Arabidopsis thaliana: one gene and its partner. The main gene of each other region encodes a partner of the protein of the gene in region 2 in a complex. Each region holds a gene or a part of one and is shown on either strand. Other genes may lie near its edges.

The links.
Region 1: AUG7 (region 2) and AUG4 share a complex: the UniProt entries of both Arabidopsis thaliana proteins name them as parts of the augmin complex.

The regions. Positions count from the first base shown.
Region 1 is NC_003070.9:18,783,800-18,789,846, forward strand, and holds AUG4 (HAUS augmin-like complex subunit), read right to left. Parts: upstream 4,004-6,047; 5' UTR 3,817-4,003; coding exon 3,682-3,816; intron 3,601-3,681; coding exon 3,553-3,600; intron 3,406-3,552; coding exon 3,280-3,405; intron 3,192-3,279; coding exon 2,859-3,191; intron 2,701-2,858; coding exon 2,604-2,700; intron 2,454-2,603; coding exon 2,408-2,453; intron 2,068-2,407; coding exon 1,974-2,067; intron 1,778-1,973; coding exon 1,706-1,777; intron 1,631-1,705; coding exon 1,572-1,630; intron 1,489-1,571; coding exon 1,420-1,488; intron 1,325-1,419; coding exon 1,273-1,324; intron 1,164-1,272; coding exon 1,086-1,163; intron 983-1,085; coding exon 920-982; 3' UTR 710-919; downstream 1-709. Other genes in the region: CPK33 (calcium-dependent protein kinase 33), read left to right, coding at 1-231, 327-426, 512-586; AT1G50720 (Stigma-specific Stig1 family protein), read right to left, coding at 5,381-5,845. UniProt on the Arabidopsis thaliana protein: Involved in microtubules reorganization during spindle and phragmoplast development.
Region 2 is NC_003076.8:5,805,031-5,810,670, forward strand, and holds AUG7 (nuclear matrix protein), read right to left. Parts: upstream 3,590-5,640; 5' UTR 3,426-3,589; coding exon 3,292-3,425; intron 3,110-3,291; coding exon 3,024-3,109; intron 2,927-3,023; coding exon 2,865-2,926; intron 2,730-2,864; coding exon 2,638-2,729; intron 2,483-2,637; coding exon 2,357-2,482; intron 2,073-2,356; coding exon 1,982-2,072; intron 1,640-1,981; coding exon 1,532-1,639; intron 1,297-1,531; coding exon 1,198-1,296; intron 1,096-1,197; coding exon 904-1,095; 3' UTR 678-903; downstream 1-677. Other genes in the region: AT5G17610 (uncharacterized protein), read left to right, coding at 1-15; AT5G17630 (Nucleotide/sugar transporter family protein), read left to right, coding at 4,445-5,640. UniProt on the Arabidopsis thaliana protein: Contributes to the assembly of the acentrosomal spindle and phragmoplast microtubule arrays as part of the augmin complex. Regulates the association of gamma-tubulin with the spindle and phragmoplast microtubules.

The DNA of each region.
Region 1 (6,047 bases), on a different chromosome or scaffold from region 2:
TGAAGTGAAACAGCTCATGGATGCTGTAAGTTTTGATCAAGACAAGATCGTTCATTTACTTCTTGAATGTTTAAAAACTCCTATTCGGGTTTTTGTGATTCAGGCTGACGTTGATGGAAATGGGTCAATAGATTACATTGAGTTTATTACTGCAACAATGCATAGACATAGGCTTGAAAGTAATGAGAACGTTTACAAAGCCTTCCAACATTTTGACAAAGATGGGAGTGGGTAAGTGATCTTTCTTTTGGTATGAATCATTTTGCAATGTAAATAGATTTGTTAGCAATGATTGATGAGACTATTACTGAAAATGTGTTTAATAGATACATTACGACAGACGAGCTAGAGGCTGCTTTGAAGGAATATGGAATGGGAGATGATGCTACTATCAAAGAGATTTTGTCTGATGTCGACGCTGATAATGTAAAAGCCAAAAGATTAAAGCTCTTCGCCCTTGTAACGTTTTTCGTTTTCTTTCTCTGACCTCAAATTTTGTTTCTTGTTACAGGACGGTAGAATCAACTATGACGAGTTTTGTGCTATGATGAGAAGTGGGAATCCACAACAACCAAGATTGTTCTAACATATTTTATTTGTCTTCTGTCTGAATCTAATCAAAAAAGACAAGAGTGGTATTATTATTGTTGTTTAGGCAAAAATTTAAGGTTGAAAAGAGAGAGAGAGAGATGATTGCTTTCATTTATTTTGGTACTGCTAAACTGGTCATCTCATTTGGTTTGAAGGACCAATAAAAGTATATAACAGAGGAAGATAACACAATGTAAGTAGATTACAAGTAGTGGACCACATAGCTAGATGTATATTTAAATTATACTGATTTTTTCTCCCAGTTCAATCTTTCTTGGAGGATTAGATTTGCTAATACATATATCACAAGTGTTAACAAATCTAGTGATCAGTCATGAGACTTAAGGTCCATTTCTACTTGATGAATGGTCCACTGCATATTTTCCAGTTTCTGCAAAACCATGAAAGCTCTCATTATAATTCGTGTTGTTGTATTCCCACAAGTCAAATCAAATTTAGAAGGTGAAATGACTTAAGTAATGACTTGCTTGTACCTTAACAATGTCATGGTACTGTCTGGCAATTGTATCAAAATGCGGATCTACTCCTTGATATTCTCTAAGCCGAGTAACCTGTGTGTCATTTCGCAGGCTCGGTTAATTAATCGGGAGTAAAATGCCAATGAAGACTGAACAAAAGGGTTTAGTGCTAAGCAATGTAAGAGAGGATAAAGACACAAACCGCTTTGTTGTATGCAGCTGAAGCTTCCTCGGTAGCCTCGACTAGATAATTCCTAAAAAAATACAATAATGCTTGGAGGTGAGAGACGGGGTCATGGATTTATCAAATACATGGAAAGAAACATGTCTGGAAAATAGATTCCCGCACCTGATGTTGTGCAGAGCTGATATGGAGTCAGGGGTGTATGTCTCAAGGAGGAGAACATTTTCCAAAACCCTTCAAGCAGAGAAAGATAAGATATCTTAACTACTGCAATAGCCTGAAATTTAGATCCTAAACAGTAAAGGATGAGATTATACCTTAATTTTGCATTCATGGTCTCACACCTTTTACACAACCAAGTCTTCTGCATCTCATTCTGTGACAATATATAGAGTAAGCTATATATGAACAGGCAGCATTTAAATCAATTGGAAAACACTGAAACCCTTACATATTTGTGTTGATGTTCTAACTTTAGATCCTTCACAAGCTTTATAAGTACCCCGAGTATTTGTTCCAGGACCTTGTTCAGAATAAAAACGAACAGTCATCAGAACTTACTACAACTAGGGGATACATGGATAATTGACAAGTAGTAGCTTTCATATACATGTAGAAATTTATCTATAAAAAAAAAAAATTTAGTAAAATATCATGCAACAGCCCAGTAATTAGATTTTCGGTTTGCATAATACAATATGAATATTCTTTTCACCTACATTGTAATATTCAGCAAACTTCCTGTCAGCCGAGTACAGGTCCTCTCGTAGAGCTGCTTCATCTCTTTCAATCTCCTCAATTATAAACTTAACCCTGAAATGCAAGAAAACACGGTCACTCATCGGTACTAGAGAGCTTAAGAGGATGGCTAAGTGTGAGAAAATCATTTGTTCCTTCTAGACTTTTAATAAACTTTACAGAGAAACAGAATACTATCACGAACATAACTTTTTCTCTATGGCTATGATCCCATCATCTAAAAGAGGCTTTCAGTTGCATTTCGCTACCATATGTTTACATGTATATCACATTATGTAGATATATATATCCCTAGAAAGGCCAGTTGCCATCCGTCTTCACTAAAACCATAACGCTATTAAGTTTTTCTTTTAGATGTCTTTAGGCATAGTTAAACCATAGTGATAAAGCTAACCTTTCTGGGAGCCTAGCACTTGAATTTCGATTTCCTGTGGACGAATCTGTCATTTAATGAAGAGTATAAGAAAAATACAGTCAGGATTGGCACACAACTTAACATAAAGTCCAAGTATCACATTGGACAGGAACAAATGAATTTGGGTAAGGAGCGAAAGACCTCTTTCTCTGTCTGCTAGTAATGAAGATCTTACCAGTGTCATCAACAATGGCATCAGCCAACTTATCACATTTTTCCTTCAATCGACCTTCTATCTCACGGGCAAGAAACATTTGGTAGTCAGCCATGTCCTAAGCAAAGTTATTTAAAAGAAAAAATTAGATACTCAAAGATATCCATAACCCAATCTTTCATAAGAATTGGTGCAAAAATATTTCGCAATCAGCAGATGAAGGAACAACATAGTTATGAAGACACCAAAAGTAGGCACAGTATGATCTCACATTACCATGGAAATAGTATTTTGAAGCTGAACATAGGATAAGTAAGCAGGTGTTATTCCAAGAAATCGATTCGGAACACCACCTACTACGTCAGTATCAACAGCACTAAGACTAATCCCACCAGCAACACTATTTGCAGAGCTATTCGCATAGTTCACGGAGTTAGAAGTGGAGCTAATCGTAAAACTCGTGCTTGCACTATCAAGAGAGCTTCTTGAAAGTATACTCCACTTTTCAATCTCTTCCTCATGAATTTCACCACCATCTGAAATAAGAGGTAGCCTCAGTTTCTGAGCCGCCTCAGCAACCACCAACCTATGCTCTAGAGTCTCATAAACCTAAAAAAAATCAACAATTATGCTCATAAATGAGTCTCGAGATAACAAATAATTCCAGAAAAAAAATCACGTTTTTGAGATTAGAAACCTGAGGAGAATTCTTCAAGCCAAGTTGAGGGTATAGACCTTGAACATCACGAATTCCCCCATGGTTAGCTACTGAAATAGCTTGCTGATATTCTTCAACCATAGCTACAGCTTCACAATAAATAGCCTAACAATTGTAAAAACTAATAATGTGAGTCCTTAGATTGAATCAAACCCTAATTTGAACTAATCAGCTTCAACTTCAATAAGTGAATGAAGAAAATCCTGAAATTAAAATAAACCCCAAAAATGGAAGAAGAGATAAAAGTGTTACCATAGCTTCCAAATACCGAAGTCTCTCCCGAGACATCTCCTCTCTCGCCTGCAATGTCGATACAATAACATTTGAGGCTCTTAAAGAGAATTAGGGGATTGTGGACACAAAATCTGAAAGAGAGATTACGAGTTGGAGATCGGAGTAGACAGATTTGGTAACAAGAGATCCATCGGGAGCCAAACAGTGACGCTCTAACTGATCGATCAATTGGTTGACATCCGCCGGTAGATTCTGAGCCGCGCCTTGCAGTGCCTTCACCATTGGCGGCGATAGATACCTCAATGTGACGTTTTCCAGCGAGAGATCTGCTTCGATCTACCTTTTGCCGCGACTGTTGATTCAAAAACTTATTCTCAGGCGCTCCATTGCCAATTCTCTCCCTTAATAATTTATCTTCTTTTAGATTTTGGGAAAATCGTTAAAACAAAATCTTTTAAAAAAAAGTTACCCGAACAAGTTCAGCCTGACGAGAAAAAGTTAACTTAAGACTCAAATAAGCATAAGTTAACTTTTTACCTTGGGCCAGTCAACTTCAGATAAATCTCCTATACTAAGTAACGAAATCAATTACATGATACGTAGTAACAAAAGCTATCAACGATGTTCATAATGTGTGCATGAAAATGTGGTAAGTTAATATGAAAATCTTTTAAATCACCTCAATCGGTAAGTAAATCGGGTGATCAGAGCCGACATCCCTTAGACAAGGAAAGTCACCTAAATATTTCAGCTTAATTCCCAACACTTTGGTGAAATATTTATATACCGTAGTCTTAACCTTCACCGATTCTTAGTTTTTTGTTTGTAAACTTTCGAATAAACCTAAATAAAGCAAAGAAATATATCTTATAATAATGAACATAAAAAGTATATAAACATAAGAGACATACATTTGTTCATTGTAGTGATCTTTACTTAGACCAAATATCATGTACTCTTTATCATCGTGTAACGTCTGAATTTTCCGACTTTTTAAAATGTGTTTAGCCTCTTTCCAGTCAAGTTCACCAGCCGAAGGATTCAAGGACAATATCCCATGAGTAAAATGCAAGAAGATGTAGTCGTTGCCCCTTGATGATTCTCTGGATTCGTTAATTTGTTGATTGACACTCAAAATCTTTTTTTTGAAACTTTGTTTTTTTTGGCAAAGTTCTCATAGCTAGGTTCAACTTTTGTTAAATCTCAACTCTTCATTTCTTTAATGTTATTCACATTCCTATCAACAAAATAAATTACTTGAAACATCTATAATATCAAATAATTTAATAATTAATTCTTCAATTATTCACTTAAATAACAAAATATCATCACATATAATATAGAAAATGGAATAATAGATGTTATACGGTTCATAAATTTGATTTTTTTCTTTGTTTTTTTTTCTTGCATATTCTCTTCATTTGTTTTCAAACTTTAGGCGTCATCTCTAAGCTTCTCTTTTTTTTTCAAATAATATTTCATCTCTAGACAAAGTTTATGTTTGAAAATCACTATCTTTTTTGTCATATAGAATATTTTAATATGTAAAATGGAATAATATCTATTATATGGTTCATAAATTGTGAGATTTATATGTTAGTAAAGGCTTATGAAGCCATGCACTGCCAGATTATTGGTCCATGGAATAATAGATGTTATATGGAATAATATCTATTATATGGTTCTCCATTTCTTGAACCTTTTTGCAATATCAAACATTCAAACTCATATCACAAAGAAAACCAATCTAGTCGTATCAAATTATCGATTAAAATTTATAAATCGAAATAAACAAAACACTAATAAAATACCAAAGTTTAACATATAAAAACTAACTAATCACATATCATGCGTAATTACACAACCCATAGACACAAAACTCACCAACCAAACAACTATGGTTGCACTCCCCACAATGCCTCTTATCATAAGCTAAGTAAACGCACTCTCCTCTACAACAAGTCTGCGTGAACTTGCATTGGTTCTTACATGCGCCACAGTTATCGTTATCGTACGCCAGATCAACACACTTGTTGCTACAACACGCCATGGTTGAGTTGTACATTCCTTGACTCTTGCATATCTCCTCTTCTTTATTGCAATGATCCGCTGCGTTAAGATTACGACCGTTCTTTGCGTTTTGCGCTAAGAAACGGCTCACCCTTCCCGTTGTAATTAGCGTTTGCGTCTGCGTATGCGTTTGTAACAACGTTTCTGTTTTGTTGTTGCTAACAAATACTGTAGCAATGAGTACCATTATGGCTATAGAAATGGTTAGAAGTATTGTCAATACGGTATTTCTATGCCCCATGTCTTTTTTCGTTTGTTAAAAAGAGAAGTTGAGAGAAAGAGAGATTTGGGATCGTGAAATGTATTGTTAAGGACGAGGGAAATAGAGTTTATATAAAGTTTGACGAGTCGTATTATTCTGTAGTAGCTATGCATGTGATGGAAATTGAGTAAAGTACGTTTAAATAATTCTTCATTAATGTTGAATATTTTTATCACAAAGT
Region 2 (5,640 bases):
CGAGGCATCTTTTGATGGTATCAAATAAGACTTTCTCAGTGAAGACATTTGCCAAAATCTGAGCTAAGCTCTTGAATTTCTGATCAGTAGTATTCTGCTCTGTCGCGTTTGAAGCCATGTAAGGCTTCTTTTATTATAAACCTCAATTTTTGGGTTAATGGTTGTTTATATGAAACGTTTACGTTTATGATTGGCAAATCCACTGAATCTTGAAACCATTGTACAAATCAGTCTTAATACGCACAGATTGGTCCCAGTTCTCTTGTCATGAATAGGAGTCCATATTATTGTTGGAGTCTTCCCAATACAATTTGACCTATATATACATGCACGCAGCATAATTACACGATATGGGGGAGCCACATAAATCTGGATCTTGATAACAAATTTGAATCATTCATACTTGGAATGGTTTCTATATCTTGTGTGTTCAAGTCACTGTTCCGATGCTTATTCCAAAGAGGACTTGCTTTGAAAACTCTGTTTGCTGGGAGTCTTTTGTAGCTGTAGAGCCAAATCATAGCTAGACTAGTCAAAGTTTCGTCTCTGTTAATCTTAAAACATCATTTTAATAGGTGAAACTCAAGTTTAAGCTCTTTAACTTCTCGGTGCAGTATGCGCCAATATTATCATCAAGAGCTTGAGACGATTCACACGGGCAGTTAGTTGAATATGTTTGCATTTTATTGTTTTTGTCCTAAATGTGTAGCATTAGTGAAATATTTGGTCGATGAGAAATTTTACCTTTAGATTTGATTTGGTTAATTGACAGAAGCAAAAAAGTGCTGAAAAGAGTTACAATTCTTGAGATCAAAACATCCACCCTAAAATGATTTCTAACGAATACAACTCATCACATTCATGGAGTTGAACCCTTTATCAAGTGTGGTCAACTCAAGACAGTTAAAGACGCTCACCTTGCTCACGAGCAATAGAAGCCGAGAGGATTCCAAGATCTCGATTGAGAACAGTTAATGCAGCTTCACAGTCGGATACGATTCTGGTTACAGAGGATGGCTCTCCAGCAACTGTCCCCGAGGATCCAATCGAAAGTGCTGCATGTGAGTCTCTTAGGTTCTTCAAGTTCCCTAGGAACTGTTGCCAAACGATTTGTGTATCAGAATCAAAGTATAAATTATATGGACTCAATATAGTCGATACAACCAAGTATACAGATAGAAGGAGACAATGGGGCACCTTTAAAAGCATATTATATGCTTCTAGTAAACGGTTTGCAGCAGGACCAAAACCATGAAGCTGAGGCACTTCCATCATATGCGTCCATGGACGAATTTCCTGAAAAAAGTCCAAACATAGTGATAAAGATACAACGGCTTATTTTTCAGTTTCTGGAAAAGATAGTCAGATCATAAGATATTCAGAGGCATTTTTTGCGACATGGAAGCAGCATGACAGAGACAAATAGCAGATTTCATGTCTACAAGAAAAAAGCTGAACTTATGCATTTTACTTCTAGCTAATCTAGGTTGATAGGGAGAGAGAATTATGAGTTAGTATGAAAAAGAAATACCTTTGTGTAGATTGTATTGAATGCCCTAGCTGTTTCAAGAAACGATTCTAAACGAGCCCTTAGTTGAGATTCCACTTCAGTATATTCTTCATCTGGGTTGTAAGCATGCTGAAAGGAGAAAACAGACATATTTCTATCAACGTCAATAAGTAGTAGGAATTATGTATATGACTGTTTCCTTCTATCAACAAGTCATTAAGTAGTAGGAATTGAGTATGCATATATACATATTAGTTACATTATGAAGTTCAAGTCTTGGCTACATCAGAATCAGAGACTACTTATAAAGAGAAACAAGAGCTATATGTTAAGCAATTGGTATATGCAGTTTACATGTAAACGTGCGATAAGTAATAAGCTGAGTGAAATATATTAAGTCTGATGAAACAGTAAATGAGTTCTGTAGTTAAGAGTCAAAACATAACTCTTTATGGGGAAACAAAAGCACACCTTTGCTGCCAAGTCATCGACTTTCTGTTGAAGATTAGAGAGAATCTTGGCCTGTTCTGAAAGTTTTGTCTCCAGTTCTGAAACATCTGGTCTGCAAATAAACTTCCATTAAGGAACATAATGTCACTACATCTGCTGAAACATGAAGCAACAATTTAAGGACTAAGATTTGCAAGTACAATAGTAGTATAACTTAAAGCTTGATTTTAAACGGAAAAACACATTGCTAACCCTAGTGACTCATAGTAGCAAAGTTTTAATTTGGAAAACTAAGTTCACATTTACAATTCATATGAAAAAGTCCATTACCCACAATGACTAAATAGTGAGAAAAGGTGCAATAACTTGGAGATAACAGGAGAAAATGGTTCTTACAATGGATATATCGACTGGATCTGCACATCAGCAGGGAACAGTTTGCATTCCTCAGAAAATATAAGAGACTGTCTCTCTGCAATAGCATCTATGAGCTGAATATCTTTGGCAACTTGCTCATCAATACTGAAGAATAAGCAAAATCATTGTTATGCAGTCTTATGCTCAAAGAACAAAACACATAATAAAGTCGACGGGAATAAGGAAGATGAAAGACTACAAAAATGCCACACTAATGATAAAAACTGGTGGAAGATATCAGATACAAGTGACATGTCTACCTCCATTCTTGATTATCTGAGAAGAGGCTCGCCTCCACTAAATCAACAATATTGCGAAGCATTTCCATCCGATCTTCATAGGTTCCATGTCCCTAAAAGTTTGAAAGATTTGCAAAACAAAAGAAAATTGAAAAGTGGAACCCATGCTTGCACTTTGACAAATTATGGAACTTGAGCAAATACAGGTAAATGCATAAATCCAGTAAGGCTACTTGAAACAAACTTACTTGAATGGCTTCAATGTCTACAGTTGGTGTAATCCCCAAAAACTTTGCAATCTCTGCCAAATCTGAAACCGAGAAGTCACTTACACATCAAAAACTAATATAGTCTAAGATAATAGCTAGGCAATGTTCAAAGGCCAACACGATCAAAGAAACACTTACATTGAATACGAACAGTTTCTTCATCACGAACTCCAGCATCTCCTTGGAGATTTTGCTGTGAGAAAGGTGATTTATCACCTAATAACCTTCAAAGACAGAGCCAGAGAAGAAACAATAAGTAAACCCCATCGAATTTTGTGATCAGAGCTCGAGAAATTCAAAATGTTGAGAGTTCACATTGATATTCAAAATTCAGAGAATTCCCAGCATTTTTCTGGTAGAAGAGAATCGAATAAGCTATAAAAGAAGGAGAGGAAGAAAGAGTTACTTGAAAAAGAGCCATTCGAGAAGAGCATAACGTTCCATCCCGGCGAAGAGGAGAGACTGAGCTGGAGCATTTGCCCTAGGGTAACTTAGCAGCCGTAGCTTCTTCTGTATCTCTTCCATTTGCTTCGCCGCCATTTTCCTATCCAACTGATTCTGGCGACGGCTTCAACACCGATTCAAATCTCGAGATCTGACACTAGTCTCGTCTTCTTCTCTCAAAAACTTTTTAAAAGCCTAATTTACCACATTGGCCCATTTTCTCATCTCCAGCGTGTAAACAGTGAAAACAAAACCCAAAATGAAAAAGAAAAAACAAACTTAAGTAATTTAACATCAATGGACCTAAAGTTTTCTCTCAAAACTTTAAAAAACTAATTTTACCATATTGGCCTTTTTCTCATCTCCTGCGTGTAAAAAGTGAAAACAAAACCGAAAGGAAAAAACATTAGTAACTTAACATCAATAGACCTAATTGATCTGGGTGATGTAAAAAGGTAAAATATTCGAATGATTGCGGCGGTTAGAATGGACAAAACCGGTGCGGACCAATTTTAAGACTACTTTTACATTGAAAGAAATTGGATCTCGATAGATTATTGTTCGCTATAAAAGAAAATGGTTTAATCCGTTTTACCCACCACATTCATTCAAAACCAAAATATTTGGATAAACAATAAAAAAATCATAAGCAATAACAAAATAATATACGATATGAAAAAATAATGATAAAAGACAAATGATGGCATCGGTTCCGATTTTGTTATTGTTAACAATCAGAACGAAATAGTTTTATCGTGAAGTTTTTTGTTAATCTAACATTTAAAATTATAAAATTTACAAATTAAAAATTCCAAAACTTTCAAATGTGAGTCCCATTTTTTTGAATCTCGAGACATTTTCCACAATGCTTTTCAAATAGGATGGGACATTTTACCAATTATATAACTAAACAAAATAATTGGAATAATTATAAAAAGAGTACTATATTCGAAGAAGGAGCAAAGTCCAAGAACAGAGCTTTCAAAAAATTGTTGTACTTCCCAACGGATCTCTGACGTTTGGTCCAGAGCCGACGACGACCCACAACCGAAACCAAGAGCTATCTCTTTTTCCTCTTCTCTCTCTCCTTCTCTACCTGCGTTCGTGCTTAAACAATGATCTCCCTGAATCTATCTCCTTCCCTCAATCCGGGTCTCCTCCACAAGACCCGGACCTGTCAACAACCGACCCGTCTCTCTGCTCTTCTCGTCACCAACCCTAAACCCTTCAATCACAGACACCCACTAGGGCTTTCACCGATTCCCAATCTCCAGATTCGTGATGTTTCCGCAAAACCCTTGCTTTCACTCACAAACCCTGAATCCTCATCTGGGTTCTCGAGAAAACCCAGATCCATCGCCGCCGTTGGCTCATCGGATTCAAATCCAGACGAAAAATCCGATCTTGGTGAAGCGGAGAAGAAAGAGAAGAAGGCTAAGACTCTTCAGCTAGGGATTGTGTTTGGTCTTTGGTATTTCCAGAACATCGTCTTCAACATCTTCAACAAAAAGGCACTCAATGTCTTTCCTTATCCATGGCTTCTCGCTTCGTTTCAGCTCTTCGCAGGTTCTATTTGGATGCTTGTCTTATGGTCCTTTAAGCTTTACCCCTGCCCTAAAATCTCCAAGCCTTTTATCATTGCTCTCCTTGGTCCTGCATTGTTCCACACTATTGGACATATCTCAGCTTGTGTCTCATTCTCCAAAGTCGCTGTTTCGTTCACTCATGTTATCAAATCAGCAGAGCCTGTCTTCTCTGTTATCTTCTCGTCTTTACTCGGTGATTCGTATCCGTTAGCTGTCTGGTTATCGATTCTTCCGATTGTTATGGGTTGTTCTTTAGCTGCAGTCACTGAAGTGTCATTCAATTTAGGTGGATTATCAGGAGCTATGATTAGTAACGTTGGTTTTGTCTTGAGAAACATTTACTCTAAACGTAGCTTACAGAGCTTTAAAGAGATTGATGGATTGAATCTATACGGTTGCATCAGTATACTCTCTCTGCTTTATCTGTTTCCCGTGGCGATTTTCGTTGAAGGATCACATTGGGTTCCAGGTTACCATAAAGCCATTGCATCTGTTGGGACACCATCAACGTTCTACTTTTGGGTTTTGCTCTCTGGTGTCTTCTATCATCTGTACAACCAGTCTTCTTACCAGGCACTCGACGAGATCAGTCCATTGACTTTCTCTGTTGGGAACACGATGAAGCGAGTCGTGGTGATTATCTCCACTGTTTTGGTGTTTAGGAATCCTGTTAGACCTCTGAATGCTCTTGGATCAGCCATTGCGATTTTCGGTACCTTCTTGTA